Linked DNA regions of Drosophila melanogaster. The protein of the gene in region 1 interacts with the protein of each later gene in a pairwise test. Each region holds a gene or a part of one and is shown in the gene's direction. Other genes may lie near its edges.

Region 1 (3,751 bases):
GTTCTTTTCTCCACCAGCGCCTCCTTTGAAATTATACCCAAAGAAGCCAACTGCAACAAATCGCCGGTTGTGCATGTGGAGCACAATCTGGGCCTGGAATCGTGGTGTGCCCAGCATGTCTACGACCACGCCCACCGCACCCTCATCTCCCATCGCCGTCAAACCACGGCGCAACAGCTGCGGACGCTGCAGCAGCAGCAGCAGAGCGACTCCCTGGCCAAATACCTAAACGTGGCTCTGCTGATTAATCCCGATGTGACCACCTTTTGGCACATCCGCCGTCAGCTGGTGCAAAAGAATCGGCTGAGCATCAACAAGGAGCTGCAGTTCTCCGCACTCGTGCTCTCAATCAAACCGAAGTCCAATGAAGCATTCGCCTACCGCCGTTGGCTGTACTCATTTCAAAGTAAGTGGACGTCGGCAACTGGGGATCCCATTTCATTCCATTATTTCCAGGTGCCGATGCTATTGACTGGCCCAATGAGATCGGGATATGCGAAAGGGCCGCCGATAGATGCGCCAGCAACTATCACGCCTGGTCGCACCGCCAGTGGATCCTTCAGAACGGCCCATGCCTGCTGCAATCGGAACTGCTACGCACGGAGAAGTTTATGCGGAAGCACATCAGTGACTACAGCTGCTACCACTACCGCCAAGTGCTCCTGAGTCGTGCATATGAGCTCAGTTTTGCCCTTCCCAAGGATTCCGGAGCCAGTGGTTCGTCTACGTTGGCCAGTCTGCAGCATCTAATGACAAGCTATGGCCTGGAATGTGAAGCCAACGCTGAGGATCTGCTGGGTCTCTTGCTACCACATGTGGATCTGAGTTCCGTGAGCAAGCAAAGGCTAATATCATTTCTTTACTGCTGCAACGTTGCCGCCAACGATATGCGTCTGTGTGCCGAGCAGCGCTTGATGTACGGATCGCGGGATTGCTTCGAGCTGCATCGCCGTGCGGCACTCAAGTTCATCGTGGAGCAGTGCGTGCGCCTGCAAATGGGCTTGCCCAATGGCCAACTGTTACCAGTGGCGTCAGGCGATCTGCGTTCGCATTTGGGCAACTTTGACTTTGAAGATAATCCGTTTTTAAGTGCCGTACGGCGCGAGGAGTCCACCCTGGGTGGTAAGCACCGGCGGTGGTGCAATCTTCACCTCAGCTTTGGATATCCAGCGGACTAGACAGCGCGACCTGATAAAGCTCAAATCAATCTACCCCAATAGAATTACTCACTCCCGGCCTTTCCGTTTGCCCATCCGTTCTGAAATGTGGCAAGTGTATAAAGACGTGTGTTTTATTTCCTATCTAATTATCGTCCCAAAAATACAGAAACTTGTGCAAGACAAATTGTTAAAGAGTAAAATACTAGAAAGGAAGACGATTCAAAACGGATTTGGAAACGGAAATGCCTCTATTCTACTCTACTATAAATGTGCGATCCAAAGACAAAGTTCAACTAGCCCGATATGACAACGGATCTCACTGGTCCGCCAATTGCATTTCGATATCTATTAGCGTTACCTGTTCGTTTCTGTTCTTAATCTGATCCGGGCACGATTTGTTAGCCCTTTGTTCAGAAGTAAAACTTAACCGATTATCGCCATGCCATGCACGTGTTTGTTGTTAGCCAATTGCAGTTAGTTTTTAAATAAATCCAAATCATAGACGACGCCTTTTTTATGCAGTTTTGAACGTCGAGCCAGTTCGGCTCGTTCATTTCGAGAATATCGATTCGGTAATGGCCGTAATGAGCACTCAAAATGCATTGTATGGGGGTTTCTTTTGCGCAGAGCAGTTGTAATATGGGATGGTATCGTTTTGTGGCGGTGCAGCCACAGCCATGACATCCCATCCCTTCCCCGAGTGAACTGGGGATTGTGGGGTAACGAGTATCGATTGCGCATGCCTGGGATGCGAGGTGGGATGTGCGAGATGCTGCCGAAGGCCTGAGATGACAACAATTTCAGCAGCGGACTCAGAATCGCCAGGCCGTAATCCCTACCAGCTTTTCAGTGTGTTTCTGGAGCAGTTCGCGTGCGGCGGTGTTTTGTGGAGTGTTGAGTGGCGAAAGTGCTGGCTTCTTTGAAGGCTTACAAACAATTTGTTTCCGACTCGTCGAAAAAAAGTGCATTCCAGTCAACCGAGAAATCAAAAGTAATAAACAAAGTATATTATTCGATTTTTTTTTTTAGTTTGCTGAACGGGGTTCCGTTTGTGGATACATGTGTACAGGCCAAGAGGATTTCAAGGGAGCATTGCATCGAGAGTGTGTGTGCGCTTTTCTGTGCCCGTCTTTGTTTGGTTTTAAAATATTCATATTCGTTTTCCATCCGCCCTCTTTGCATTTTTTATAACTCCCACCCACTTTTCCTGGCCCAAGGGGCGTGGGCCCAAAACTACGCCTCCATCGCAGTTCACTTCATGGGTGTGTGGTGTTCGTGAGGGGTGGGGGTTAGTTTATGATGTTTATGAGTTGATTATGGGCTGCAAAGTACTGTGCCATTGTCTTCGGGACCTGTTCCCTCCGGGCATCCCCAGGATCTTGTCCTGCACCATCCCGTCGTGTCCTGGAAATATACCTCGGAATACCTGACCCTGGGGCACCATCGGCTGCACATGTGTAGATAACACAAAATGGACACACCTGATGATTTTGTGCCAGTGTGGGGGGTGGGGTGTGTGTGCGAAGTTCCTACGGCCAAGGGAGCTATACTCGCGGCTGCACTAATAGCAGCGGCTAATAGGCACATTATTGAGTTGCCAAGTAATCCTACTAGTGGAAACTCAATCTAATTGGTGAGCATTAAGGTGCCACTTCCTTAGGACTTCAATCAGATTAGGATTAGCTAGCCTAGAAGCTTATTATTCCCACCATCCTATTTTTGCGACCGCGAGTGCCAGTGAATGTGCCAGAATGTAGTGAGTAAGTAACGGTAACGGCAACGGAAAGAACATGTGCGCATACGTAGGGCCTATGGCCCACATAAGTATGCAGTGCACGTACGGCCAGGTGTATGTGTGTGTGTGTGCGAGTAACGGTTTCCAGGTGCAGGTGTCAACTCGATAAGCAGCCGATAGATGGCGCTGCCGTTCAGGCCTCGCAACTTTTTCATTTCCTGTTTCCACTTCACAGTCATTCCGCTGCAGGAGAACAATATTTGCGTTTTGACACAGCCTTATACGCGGAATTGGGGGCGTGGCAGGTCGGCGGCGGACAATGAACCCGCCTACGCAGCAAGGACAATAATTGCAGACTGGATTGGAATGGGATGCCCGTGGAGCAGCAGCATGAGTTCGCCGTTTTGGAGCGATGGCAGTACTGGATTCGCAGTGGCCCCACAATCCACATAACTCGCACTACGGGCGCTAGGTTTTGATAAGTTGGCAATAATCGCCGGAAATGGGCAGTCTGCCGAATCTTCACGAGCTGGAGGAGGCGGAGCGCAAGCGGGAGAAGCGACGGGAGTACGAACTTCTGCTGGAGCAGCGGGCTCGGGACACCAGTCGCGAGCGGGAGCGTCTCTCCGCGTTTGCTCAGCAGCGCAAGGTGAGATCGCCTGAGTAGATCCCCCCTCCTTACGACTTATGTATTTTTCTACTCCACTCAGCAATCGTCGTATAATGCTTACATAATGGCTGGTCTGGGGATTGGTGGCGGATCCTTGAGCCTCAATGCCACCTCAGGAACTGCAACAGGCAACGGAGAGCTGCTCGGTGGCAATGGGACAACTGGCGGAAAGGGTCCGAACCAGGC
Region 2 (3,751 bases), about 17 Mb from region 1:
CCTCCTGACGACGCAACTTTTCGCGAGCCAAGCGTTCCCGCTCCCGTTGACGTTCTTGGCAGCGAGCCAAGGCCTCAGCGCGCTCCTTATCCCTGGCTGCCTCCCGTTCCGCACGCTCGCGCTCCCGATCCCGACGATCTCGCTCCCGCAATGAGAGATCGTGGCGTTCGCGCTCTCTTTCTCGTTCTCGCTCGCGCTCCCTTTCCCGCTCCCGTTCCAGGGACGGAGTACGTCCACGTGCGCGGGTCTGGATGATGATCTTCTCTCGCGACATCAGTTGGTGATGCATTCGCGAGGATGAGCTGCTGCTGCCGCCTCCAAGACCAGAACCTAAACCTTAAAGTCAAGCAAAATTAATGGGTTAGTGGGTTGAGCCTAGACATAACTATATGTAGTATCTGATAGTTACCTGGACTCTTTTGCCGCTTACCCACGATGTCCTGATGGATGCGAATCTTGGTGGTGGTGGTAGTGCTGCTGCTCGGCGGACTCCTACTGCTGCCCAATCGATGATGGTCTCGCTCTCTGTCTCGTTGGACGACGCGCAGCTTGTCCCGCTCCCGTTGCTCCTTGCTGGCAGCCCGTAGCCTCTTTCGCTCGGCCAGCTTCTTTAGCTTGGCTCGCGTCGTCGGCGACAGGGAACGATGGACGTGACCACTGAGGGCGGCGGCCGCCCGTTTCTTAAGGCGCGCTTCCTTCAGTTTCCGTTTGATATGATTTCGCTTGGCCACCAGCTTCTTTTGCACATGATCCCGTTTGTCTCGCTTGCGGCGCGACGACGATGGTTCATCTCCGGACGAGCTGCCGCCGCGCCGTGAGCTCTTCTTTTTGCGATGATGACGCTCCGCGGAGCGCGGATGATGCCCATGGCCGTGGGTATGGGGATGACCGTGGACGCTGCCACTGCCGCCGGGACCACCGGCGCCACCAGGTACGCCCACCCCCACGCCGACGCCGCCCACGCCCTGCTCGCTGTCCGTGCTGCTGTACGAGCTGCTCCCGCTGTCGGAGTCCGAGGTGGAGTCCGAGCTGCTCGAGTGCGTCGCACTGTGACGGGCGGCCTTCTTGTAGCGGCGCAGCGACTCCTTGGCCTTCTTCTCCATCGCCGCGATCTCCGCTAGCCTGCGCGCCTCCGTTTTGGCTGCTTTCTTTTCGTACTCCGGTCGAAAATCAGCACGGCTATGCGGCTTATAACTAGTTGCAGCGTGTCTTGTGGTATAATGTCCTTGTTCGGAGGCGCGGACTTGCCTTGTTGTCTATTTTGTTGGCGTTTTCTTTAACTCTTCTTCTTCTCTATTTTCCTCTATATCTTCGTGTTTGTTGTTATCGATAGTCGATTGGCAGGGCATCGCGACCATCGATTACAGTCAGCACGGCGGTACATATCGATCGGTATAAGTTTGAAAATATTGTTTATTATTGTATCACATTATTATAATAAAATATAATTAAATAATTAAGTGCCTTTAACTATAAATAAATATTAATTTAACATTAAAAATATTATTAAAATTAATAATATTAATTAATACTTGTATTTATATTAATATATTGTATTTTTGTAACAATTTCTGCTTAAAATGAGTTCGGTTTTGGATTGAATTACAATTTCTATATCAATTTACCGGTTCAGCAACGGGGATTCAAATCTGACTTGTTATCCATTTTTATACCCGTTACTCGAAGAGTAAAAGGGTACCCTAAATTTGTTGAAAAGTATGTAGCAGTCAGAAGAAGGCGTTTCCGACCATGTACAGTATATATATTCTTGATCAGGAGTCGATCTAGTCATGTCCGTCTGTCCGCCATGTCCGTACCTAGAAGGTTGAGATCCAGCATACAGATTCTAGAGACAAAGACGTAGCGCAAGTTTGTTGATCTTTTTTCGCATTTTTATTAATCTTGTAAATTTCTATCGATTTGCCCAGAAAATGATAAAATTTCGCGTTCTCACATCCACTAGCTGAGTAACGGGTATCTTATAGTCGAGGAACTCTCTTTAGTTGATTTAAATTCCACGCATCCAAAACATTGTATAAAGCAGCCTGTTCTACTACTCAGTTAAACTGAACTTTTCATTTCGAAAAGATTTTCAAATCCAGCTGGCTATGCCTCTAGTGTCAAGTCGTATTACGGGCACTTCACCGGCTTCTCCTCAGTTTTGCTACACAGTTCGACACTTCAACACCTCAACACCTCAACACCTCATCGCCTCGGCACACATTCTCTCTCAACAAAAAAAAAAAAAAAACACATATATTTTTATAAGTACACATTTTAACTTAAAGTCTCATTCATTCGCTCGAAAACCGATGAATTTGTTGCGCCGGCAGCCTCGGCTGCTGAATAAACGGAGCACGTGGCTGTTTAGAAATTACGTGTTGGCCAACAGGGATGTGTCCGAACCCGTTTCCCGTCCTGCGGCGCCTATGTCCACCCTATCGATACCCGGACCAGCGCTGGCTGCCGCCACCCCAGTATCCGCCGTATCCCTGGTACCCCGGTGCACCCACTCCAGCCTCCAAGGAGGTGGACAAGGAGCAGGTTAGTTCTAAGTGAAAAGTTTTCTGATTCCACAATTTTCTGGGTTGTCAATGACTTTGTCATAATGACATTTCATAAATGACACCTGCACTTATTGATATGCTTAACTGAAATTTCTATATTCATTAAAGGAGGAAGAGGGCTCAGAGGATCAGCCACCGGAGGATCAGCCGCCGGAGGAATCGCCACAAAACGACAGTACTCCGGAGGAGCAGCCCCCGCCGGAGCCGCCAAGCCGGGAGGAGCAGCCCCCGCCGGAGCCGCCAAGCCCGGAGGAGCAGCCCCCGCCGGAGCCGCCAAGCCTGGAGGAGCAGCTGCCGCCGCCGCCGGATCCGCCAAGCCCGGAGGAGCGTCCACCGGAAAGCCAGCTTCGGGCAACGCACCAGCAACGCCTCCACCTCCACCACCTCCTCCGCCTGCTAAATCTGCACCCCCAGTGAAAGCGAAGAAGCCGCGATTGAAGACCTTCGAGATCTACCGCTGGAAGCCCGGGGATCAGCCGCAGACGCAGACCTACGAGGTGGACCTGGAGCAGTGCGGCGCCATGGTGCTGGATGCCCTGATCAAGATCAAGAACGAGATGGACCCCACGCTGACCTTTAGGCGCTCCTGTCGCGAGGGCATCTGCGGCTCCTGCGCGATGAACATCAATGGAACAAACACCTTGGCCTGCGTGTCGTCCATCGACCAGAATGAGAGCAAGTGCTGCCGCATCTATCCACTGCCGCACCTGTATGTGGTGCGGGATTTGGTGCCGGACATGAGCCAGTTCTACGATCAGTACCGCTCCATCCAGCCGTGGCTGCAGCGCAAGGATCTGAAGCGGGAAGCTGGAACGGCACAGTATCTGCAGTCCGTGGACGATCGTCTGGTGCTGGACGGGCTGTACGAGTGCATCCTGTGCGCCTGCTGCCAGACCTCCTGTCCATCATACTGGTGGAACAGCAATAAGTATCTGGGTCCCGCCGTCCTCATGCAGGCCTATCGCTGGGTCATTGATTCCAGGTGAGTGAGGCCATGTTGCTGCCAGTTTCCCCAGTGTGCTAAGATTTGCTTTGCAGGGACGAGGCCACCGAGCAGCGACTGGACTTTCTCAAGGACCCCTGGAAGCTATACCGCTGCCACTCGATCATGAACTGCACCAACACGTGCCCCAAGCACCTCAATCCGGCTAGAGCCATCATTCAGCTGAAGCAGCTGCTTGTGG

What was found. The genes of interacting proteins can lie anywhere in the genome.
Region 2: the proteins of CG3078 (region 1) and SdhBL interact in a two-hybrid assay, tested with the Drosophila melanogaster proteins (one large-scale study listed by BioGRID).

Annotation. Positions count from the first base shown.
Region 1 is NC_004354.4:2,258,121-2,261,871, reverse strand, and holds the start of CG3078 (uncharacterized protein), read left to right. Parts: upstream 1-2,008; 5' UTR 2,009-2,151; intron 2,152-3,130; 5' UTR 3,131-3,397; coding exon 3,398-3,544; intron 3,545-3,605; coding exon 3,606-3,751. Other genes in the region: temp (tempura), read left to right, coding at 18-406, 457-1,178.
Region 2 is NC_004354.4:18,892,350-18,896,100, forward strand, and holds the start of SdhBL (succinate dehydrogenase, subunit B (iron-sulfur)-like), read left to right. Parts: upstream 1-2,096; 5' UTR 2,097-2,312; coding exon 2,313-2,544; intron 2,545-2,675; coding exon 2,676-3,549; intron 3,550-3,605; coding exon 3,606-3,751. Other genes in the region: Flacc (Fl(2)d-associated complex component), read right to left, coding at 1-336, 410-1,103.